Linked DNA regions of Caenorhabditis elegans. The protein of the gene in region 2 interacts with the protein of the main gene of each other region in a pairwise test. Each region holds a gene or a part of one and is shown on either strand. Other genes may lie near its edges. The genes, in order: ifbp-1 and cnt-2.

What was found.
Region 1: the proteins of cnt-2 (region 2) and ifbp-1 interact in a two-hybrid assay, tested with the Caenorhabditis elegans proteins (one large-scale study listed by BioGRID).

The regions. Positions count from the first base shown.
Region 1 is NC_003283.11:13,369,554-13,374,827, reverse strand, and holds ifbp-1 (Interferon regulatory factor 2-binding protein 1 & 2 zinc finger domain-containing protein), read left to right. Parts: upstream 1-1,807; 5' UTR 1,808-1,929; coding exon 1,930-2,261; intron 2,262-2,599; coding exon 2,600-2,837; intron 2,838-2,886; coding exon 2,887-3,103; intron 3,104-3,458; coding exon 3,459-3,880; intron 3,881-3,975; coding exon 3,976-4,056; intron 4,057-4,191; coding exon 4,192-4,275; 3' UTR 4,276-4,733; downstream 4,734-5,274. Other genes in the region: srx-125 (7TM GPCR serpentine receptor class x (Srx) domain-containing protein), read right to left, coding at 4,838-4,967, 5,021-5,151.
Region 2 is NC_003281.10:10,662,016-10,666,854, reverse strand, and holds the start of cnt-2 (Arf-GAP with ANK repeat and PH domain-containing protein cnt-2), read right to left. Parts: upstream 3,247-4,839; 5' UTR 3,195-3,246; coding exon 2,543-3,194; intron 2,382-2,542; coding exon 2,323-2,381; intron 1-2,322.

The DNA.
Region 1 (5,274 bases), on a different chromosome or scaffold from region 2:
CATCCTTCCGCTCCCGACAGGGTTGACCTCTGCGCGTCTGCGTCTTTCATCCCATTTTTCCTCGCCCGTTCTTTTCTGAGGGAGAGAGGGAGGGAGAGAGAGAGGGAGAGAGAGAGAGGGAGAGAGAGAGAGAGAAAAGACCTTCAATCAGTTTCTGTAGTAGTCCTTCTCCTTGGGATACTGAATACTAGGTCACCATTTCAATCTCTTTTTTTTCTATTTTTTGTGTTTTTTTCTTTCTCTACCCTCTTTATTGTTCTTGTTTTCTGACCGTCACTTCGCTTTGCACCCCGTTTTTGAATTTTAAACTCCTGCTAAAAGTTATAAATACGAATGTGGGAAGATCGGCTCTTTTTGTTTGGATACTGATGAAAAGTCCTATCAGCTTAAAATCATGAATAGTTTAACAGCACCTTCTCAAGCTTGAAAAAAAGTAAATGTGCAAATGCTCTGCTCAAAGCCCCGAGTTGAAACAAAGTTGTTTACAAAATTATCTTGGTTTAGGTTTTTTGTTCAAAATATCAGTAGTGCAATTACACATTGTTTATTCTACATTTTTAGATCCATAATTTTCTAAAACAATATGATAATTCTTTCTGAATCATCTTTTTTTTCAGTTAAAGGCACTTATCGAGAATTCTTCTTCCCCCCATTTATTTTGCATATCTATTGTGCCAACATGAAATTTGCATTTCTTCCCATTTCTCTTCATTTTCCTTTCATCCAAACATCCACGTTTTCTTCCCCATTGTGCAACGTGGTGCACCATGTCACAGAGAGAGATCTAATCTCCATATTTCTTTCATATAGTTTTTCTTGAGCTTTCAGTATCAATGAACTATGCTCCAAATAAATATTGGTCGGCCTAGCACATCTATGGATGGCCTTATCGGAAGGTTTCTCTCACTTATTCTCATGACTCGCCAATTCGACTTTCACTTGTGTTTCTATCTTTTCAAAATGAAATCACACACCTCTACTTTGGTCTTCGTACCGCTTATCAGTTGTTGGGAAGGGTTTTTCTCCAATAAGGAGGGGTTTAGTGACCTTTCAAGCCTTGTTGACAATTAGCCATTATAGCGTCTAGGAAAATCTAGAACTGATAACAAATAACAAAACATCTAAAATCTAGAAACAGGAACATGTTGATCTGAAAATTGAGCAAATTGATGTTTTGTGCAACTGTGATAAGTCAGAAATTTTGATCACTTTTGATAATAGTTATTCCCCCAACAAAACATTTGAAGGTCTCAAAAACAGAGGGAGTCTCCTCATTTTTGCATTTTCGGAGCCAATTTTGAGTTGCCTTCTTCCATTCCAATTCCTTTATTAAGATGCAGATCCGATGCTAATGATATGCACTATCCATACGTCTTGTGGAATATGAATGAGGAGAGGTCGAAGACTCGGAACCCACCTCTTTTTCTTTTTATTTTTTCTCCTGCAGCTTTTCTTTGCCAATTCTTTGTACACAACTATAGTAATACAATGTGCTCAATGCGTCACTCAGTGCTTCGCCCCTTACTGTCTCCTTCTATTCGTCGATTATTCATAGAGTTCTTCGTCATCCAAAAAAAGTGTTACACATCGCTGTAATAGTTCGGACCCACGCATGCTCATGGTTTTGATATTTTCCATTGTTTATTTGAAATAATACAAAAAAATATTCGATTACCCTAATAGTTTACCAAGTCATGGAACAACCCTGTTTGTGTGCAACCAGAGCATCAGCGTTCTGTTATCAGCTGCCGGCTTTTCTTCTTTTATCACTAAAAAACCATGCCTAGTTTTTTCACCTCTCGACCCTATTCGTCTCGGTCAGGAATCTTTCTTATCTCTAGAATTTCTCCCTCTCTTCCATCACGAACTTGAAACGCGCCATTCCTATTCCTCTACCCCATCATTCTTGCAATCATTCCTCTCGTGGAAATGGGCTCGTTCGCTGAGTCGGCTGCTCTTCTGCAGGCATCGATGTCTCTTTCTCCAACACCTTCTATAATTAACAACAATAATACTGTCGATTATTCTCTATCACTCCAGATGCTCGCGGCTCCGAACGCCGTCTCATTGGCCTCTGTCAACGGTTCTGCTTCACTTCTAACTGCAACAACTGCTGGAATGAAGGCGAATAATAATTCAAATGAGAAATTACCAAGACAACAATGTTACCTGTGTGATTTGCCACGCTGGCCGTGGGCAATCATAAATGATTATATTGAGCCAGTTTGCAGAGGATGCGTCAATTATGAAGGATCAGACAGGTTTGTTTGGAAATAATGATGATGAAAATTCCTTTCGATTTTAAAATTTTCCAAAGTGAAAGTCACAAGTTTTCTTATATTGATACAGGACATGAAAATTTGACACCCTTTTTCTTATAAGACTGCAAGCTAAAAGTTTGTTCTGTAATAGATTTCCTAAAGTTTTTAAAGAATTTTTTTTTTGAAAAAAATTAGAAAAAGAACATATTTTTTTGACGATTTTTCTGCCGAAATTTTTTATAAATTGCAGGACTTCACGATCTTATAGTTTTAAAAAGGTTTCAAGACCAATTGAACTTTTTTTGTTTTTTGTCACCAAATATCTTTTTCTGTTTCAGAATTGAACTCGTACTTGAAGAAACACGCCAACAAAAGAAACTCCAAGGAGTTGGAATCAGTGATCCACAGAATGCAAAGACATCCCTCCGAGATATTACACTTACACAACAACAACCCCTTCAAACATTACCAGTCACTTCTGCTAATGGAATCGGAAGGATAAGCCCACAAAGGACACCTCAGCCAACGGTACTTCCCACGTCCCCATTCCATGTGCCAACTATGAACAACTTGGAGGTAAACATATAAAATTGAAAACTGCAATAGTTTACAAATTTATTTTCAGCAAGTTCTGACCCATCAACGACTTCTGCAAATGACACAAGCCAATCCTCGGGCGGTTGACGATCTTATTCAACAGTCTCTTCGAAGCTTGGGCCCAAATTCTCATCTCTTGGCTCCATTCATGATGAGCATGCTTCCAAGCACAACTTATTCAAATCCAAGAAAACGTGAATCTGACGAAGAGCAGAAGCCTGAAATATATGGAAAAGTGCAGAGAGGTATGTCAGTTAGAATTTAAAATTGACATCGTCCCAAAAAACCGGTTGTTGCGTAAAGTAGTAGTGCCCCCTTCTCTCTCTCCGATTAGCCCGTGTATCGTCTCTCTGTCACCCTCTCGAATTGCGTAATACCGATAGACCCGACAGAAAACCAGCCGAATTTAGAAGAATTAGAAGAAAAGAGTAGCGAGTTGAATGAGTGACCTCGAGAGAAATAAAGGGCTAGATATGGGGTCAACACTTTGAAAACGGAACCGGTTTTAGAGGATGGTAGTGTAGTTGGTTGTGGCGTCGTTGTCGGCGCCTGGCACCCAGGGTCATCACCCCCTCATCATCATCATCTTCTATTTTTCAGGCGATGCCCAAACGACAACTGCCTCGCCAACCTCAACTCATTCACCAGACCATCCGGGAGTTAAGGATCGGAGAGGGATCGCCCCAATTGAGAGAGTTTTGAGATGTACACTGTGCAATGAACGTCTAGAAGACACCCACTTTGTACAATGCCCAACAGTCAGCATTCACAAGTTTTGCTTCCCATGCTCGCGGAGCAGCATCAAGGATCAATGCAAGAGCAGTGATATGTACTGCCCATCAGGCGATAAATGTCCATTAGTCGGATCAGCAATGCCATGGGCATTCATGCAAGGAGAAATTGCACAAATCCTCGGTGACGAGTATGACGAGTTCAAGAGAACCCGAGAAGCTCACGGTCTTGCTCCACCGATGGGTGCCAACGCAGCGACTCTCGCCGCGGCAGCCGCGGCAGCTGCACAGGTATGCCCTTATCAGATTGTGTGAAACTAATTTGTTTGTCCAATTTTGTTATTTATGTTTGGAACTAAATCACCCGCATTTTGCATGGTTTTCAGTTGAGACGGAGACAAAATGCTCAAAGAGCCCACCCTCATCGCACTCTTACACGATCCACAATTAACACTTCTACCTCATGTGTAAGTGATTACTAACATATGACATTGACTAGCATGCAAAAAATTGATTATCGGATTCAAATAAATATGTTGCATGCCCCTAACATCTATTATTTAAACTGATTTTTTTCATTTTCTGAATGAATTAATTTTCAGAACGGCGCCAATCAAACATCTCCAGCCTCCACAACAACTTCTGCGGCTTCTTCCACATCTGCCGCCACGTCACCACAAAACTGATAACCTGTGACGTCACGGAGCACATTAGGCACAAATATTTTTTCTTTCAATCTCTCTTTTTTCTCAGTCCCACTGAAACCGTTCAAAGCTGCACTCAATGCTTTTGTCTGCTTCACCACGATCTCTACTTTTTCCCCCTTTCCAAGTTTTCTTTCTCTCTCTCTCTCTTCGGTCCCAACTACGGTGTGATTTCAAGGGACATTTGGTAATAAATCTTGAGATTTTTTTCCTTTCTCATTTCCCTTTTCCTCGATTACGCTTTTCACTGCTTTTGGGATTTACGGTTTCTTTTCTTTTTTCAGTCCAAAAACTTTGTAATGTTCGTACCTTATCCCCAGTCCATTCTCCCCTGGAACATTGAAAATTCAACTGCCAAACAAATCAAAAAACAACAATCCCACCAAAGCTTTCAGTTTATTTTTTCATTAATTGAATAAAGCTTTGATCAGAAAACTTAAGATATAGTTTGAGAAATTGCAAATTTTCACATATTCTCTCACGAATTCCAAGAATTCAATGTGAAAACTCGGTATAAATTCTACAAAACTTCGAATGATTAGAATTAATCAGAAGGATGGAAGGAAGATATTTTAGATCTGTTCACAAAAATAGTTCCAGTCCTCGATTTGGGCTTCAACAATCTGCGACACCATTGCGGATGTATCTCAGTATGGAAATATAGCATGACGCTTCTGTAAATGTTTCCGGAAACTCTTATCAACACGTTCGACCAACGTCCACTCACCCGTCCAGCGCATGAATCGATAGAAAACTGACGGACAGAAAAATGAACTGATACCAAATTGCTGAATTGAGTTTGAAGAGTATTGTGCAATTGATCATGTCGATCAAGTGAAGTGTGTCTTGCAGCACACTCTGAAATATGGAAAAAGGAGATTCCGGTAAAAGTATTCATGTGAAGATGAAAATTGTTTATGTATTTGTTCTCGAGAATAAACAAAAGTTGATAAAGATAACAACGGTCAAGAGTTCACAAAT
Region 2 (4,839 bases):
ACACCTGGCAAAAAGACACCCAACAGAGGGTATGTTGTAAAGTTGCGATGGGTGAGAAATTGGGGGGTTGACTGCGTAATGTTCAAAAGGAGAGGAGGTGAAGGTGGAGAAGATAATTGATGTTCGAACATTGGCGTAGGAGATGAAGAGAGAAAGTTTCCGATCCAAATTGACATTGATATTGGGTGTTCCCAGTGTTCCACTACAGCTTCGACGCTGTGTAGTTTTCACAATAACGATGTTCAAGTATCGGAAAATCGACAACAGACATTGAAATTATTATTGAAAGTTGCAAAAAGTCTCTTCGATTCTAATGTTGATAACACTAAAGCCAATATAATACAAATTGCAGAAACATATATTCGTTGGCCGTCGAGTTGAAAATCAAAGTTCCTTGTAAACTCAGTAAATTTTAAAACTTAGCGTAGTGCTCGATTTAACTGAAATTCAAGTTCTGAACTAAACCCGATCACTACTGTCAAAAGGTAATTAAAATCTTGGAACTTTGCCGGAAATTTTAATTTTAGATTATTACACATTCGGCACTGTGCTCTAAAACTACGTGATAATCGAATAATATTTCCCTGTGTTTTATTTTGAAGAACAATATCTACACATCATGCCAAACCTGCACTGAAATTCTAGGAAAATCCCAATTACCAGTTTCAACGAAGAATAGAAAAGTCGTGAGAAAATCCTACATTTATGGACTTTTCAGAAAAACAAATAGTTCCGATGCGTTTCAGCACTGCTTATCGGAGTTCTTCTATTGAATTTCAAAAGAAATAAACCAAAATAGATCAAAAGATGGAAAATTGACCTCTCCTTTATTTGAGTATCCACTCAATTTCAGACATTCTTGTTTGTTTGTTTTGCCGCGACGGCGGTCTGGAAATAAGGTGAGAATACGAAACCTTCTCAGCTAAGTGACCAACGATCGCCCGTGAGCCGCCTTAATTGACAGCTCTTTGTGTTTATTACTTTGGTAAGTACGCAGGTGTTCCTAGCATCCTGTGCTTGTACCAACTGTCCGGAAGTACCCAAAGATTTGAATCTTGTTGCAAAATGTCTAGGTACAACAACATAGAATCTCGAGGTGTCATCATCGTAATTTGTATCCAACCAAGAGTTGCGAGAATCAAAGAGAACGCCGAGGGTGAGAACAACGACGAAAGAGGAAATCCTGTCGTCTGGCGAGATGCAATACTCTACTTCTTTTGAAGATGAGCCGCTCGCCGCTCAATTAGTAATCTCATTAAAATGAGGTGAGGGCAGAAAAATTTGAGTCAAAATCTGGCTGGGAGCAAGTTTCAGATAGGCTTAAGGAAGGGAGCATGTTATATAGATTATTTGGAAGAAATAGAGACTATCGGTAATCTAGTTTTTTTTTGGAAAATTTTTCAAAAAAGTGCCTAATATTTTGGAAAACAACATATACATTTTCCGACAAATCTCAGATACACCGTAGGCCACGCGTGACGTCACCTACAACTAGTACTTGAGATTAGCGCAGGTGCTAATAATAGCCGGGTTTTACACATGTACGTACAATAGCATAATTCCCGCTTACGGAATCTAGCACAGCTGGCTTCGAGTTCAAAAAGTGCCTATTTTCTGTGATGAATTGCGCAATCATTAAAAAATAAATGATAGACGTACTGTTTTTGCAGTGATCTACATCCAAAACTTGATGTATTTGGGAGTGAACCAAGGGTGGGCGGCAAATTTGCCAACTTTGCCGGCCGTACTCGGCAGATATTGGAAAAAAGAGATTTGCCGCATCGAAACTCAAAACCTCAATATGTTCTGAGAGCAAAAGGCGATGGTCGAATAATTACTGTCTTATAATCATAGGTGGGTGGCCAACGATTTTTTTTCCGGCAACCCGACAAATTGGCGAAATTTAAAATTTCCGGCAATTCGGCAAACTGGCAAATTGGCGGAATTAATATTTCCAAATTGAACTGTTTCATCAATTTCTGGTATTAATTCCCCCTTTGTACTACCTTATCTACTTGAACTAAATCTAAGTATGACCAAACCTAATAAATTATTATTATTACTATAAATCTATTTATTAAAAAACGAGCTACCATCATCTAATCTCATCTCTCTCTCTCTGGGTGGTGGCAATTTGTCTCAAAGGATCCGAAATGACCTTCACACATCACGAGATACCCATACGAGCAGCCACCTGGTGACCGCTCTGGAGCATCATTTGGTAATGTGACACCTACCGAGAGCAAACTATATATAAACATTTTATAGTGTTATACAATAAACACAAAATAATAATTTTTGCGCGGTACCGGGAAAACTCACCAATTTCATCTCACTGATCGACCTGCTCAGCGTCCATTCGTGTGAGTTCACAAATGCATCTGAAAATTAGAGAAATTTAAAGTTTTTTCAGAATACACAATATAACTTTTTTTTTGCTAAACATTCAATAAAATTATTGAACCAATGTTTTTACGTTTTTTAAGTTTTTATAAATAAAGTCAGTTTTAATTTAAATTGATGTTTTGTGAATGCTCTTTACCATGATGATAAGTAGGACTTCTAAAAATTCTATTTTTCGCGGAACCCTGTTGCTGCCGCCTGCTGGCCTGAGCGATAGAAGCCGCTGGATATATCACATAGGACGGTGTTGGTACTGGAACAATATCATCATAGTCCGTAGTGGTATGTGACGATGATGACGTCATCGCATCATCCGAGTAACCCATCGACGTGCTCGTCATGATCCTTCTCGGAGGCATCGGAAGCGGCGGAGGTGGGATGTAACGGTGGCGGGATAGGGATCCAGATTCTCGTCGTCTCGATGGCTTTTCAGATCGGAATGACACAGAAGACAGGCTTCTCGTAGCAACGCTAACATTCGAATTCTCCTTATCCTTCCGTGATGAGTGTCTACTATTCGGAAACAGTAGATCCCTCCACCGTTTCTTTTTCCGTTTATCGTCACCGGCTATCTCATTTGCATTTTTATCCATAGTAGTCTCCTCAAACTCTGTCGGATCATGAATTGTCGTGTTGCCACCTCTCCACTCATTCTTCCCATAGTATATTCGACTTTTCTGTGGTTCCATATAGGATCGCGAGCTCGTCACCATCACCGTCGGGCGGTGTGCAGAGGTGCTCGGCGCCACATTTAGGAGATCATAGTAATCGTAGTTTCGGATGAGGGGCATGATTGTGTCAAGAAATGATCATTGGGGGATGGGGGGAAATGTAGAGATATCTGGAAGAGTTGGATATTGAATTAATTTAATTTAATTCAAAGGTGAGAAGAAAGTGAGATTGTAGGATAACGAAGGATATTAGTTGCAAAATATGATCAGGTTAGAAAAAATGAGAAAATTGAGATACAATTGTGACGGGACCCAATAAAATATTCGGAAAAAAGAAATTCGGATACATTTTTAAACTCATTGTTCTTGGCTCTCAAGGTTACTGTAGGTTTTAAGAAACACGTATGTTTATTAGAACTTCAGTAATGTCCAAAAAACCACAAATATCAAAAGGAAGTAGAAAAAGGAAGTAGTAATGAAAAGTTAACATTAAAAATATTAAAGACCCACAAGTTTGGGAATAAGTGAATTTTTGACTTTGAAAAATGCTTACTATTCAAATTAGGGCTTCCATGTAGGCATGAAAACGCCTGCCTGAATAACCTTGAGGCAAACCCGACTGCCTCTCGCCTCAATTCGCGCCTCAGGCTCAATTTGTTTTTCATCAAATTCATAGAAAGGAGAATATTAGAAGTTTGTAAATTTACGTAAGAATACAAAAAAGAGGCTAAAGGCAGGCGTCGGGCCCTGAAACCAAGCCTGCCTACCAAGAAAGCCCTAATTCAAATTAACTAGTTCAAAATTCTAAAACCTGCATAGAGCAACATGTAGATTCTCCAGTAAAATGTCATTTTCGATGCCAGCGCGGCCGACGAGGAAGAAAAAAAGAAGAAGAAGAAGAAGCAAAAGACAAACAAAACCCTGATCGAATTGATCGCGTGAACACAAAAGTCAGAACACTTTTCGGAAGTGTCATGCTGTGGCGATGAGGGGGGTGCCGAAATGTGTGTGTGCCGTTGACGGGCGAACGAACACATTGTGCCTCCTGACCCCCGGGCGCCCGTTACAATGAAAAAGCGGCGGCGGTGGACATTGAAAACGGTTGTTGAAGACGTCGTTTGAGAACAACCAACTACTACTTCATCTCATTCAACCGTGTTTCTTTGCTTTTCACCGTTTTTCTTTGCAAAGAACAATGAACCAACGTCGCGTAGGGGGGCAATGCGCGACGATGATTCCAGAGGCCTCATTAAAGAAAGTTAATGGATTCGTTTTGATACACTTTTGCCTTTCAACTCTAATCGTAAGGAGAGAGAGGAGATATGTGATATCAGAAGATAATGGAACTCTGACACCTCATTAAAGAGTTCTAATTGGTTGAGCTCTTGAATTTTGCAACCATGTGTCGATTTACGCAGCTCGTGAACTCCCCTAGGAAATTAAGAAGAGGATTCAACAGTTTTTTTTTTGTTGAAATTCTTCTCTTTTCATACATTCTTGCTAATTTGTTGGGAATTTTTCGGTGAAAATTTTTCCGGCAAATCGGCAAACCGGCAAATTGTCGGAATTGAAAAATTCCGGCAAACCGGCAAACCGGCAAATTGTCGGAATTGAAAATTTCCGGCAAATCGGCAAATTGTAGGAATTAAATTTCCGGCAAGTCGACAAACAGGCAAATTGCTGGAATTGAAATTTCCGGCAAATCGGCAAATTGCCGGATATGAAAATTTCCGGCAAATCGGCAAATTGCCGGATATGAAAATTT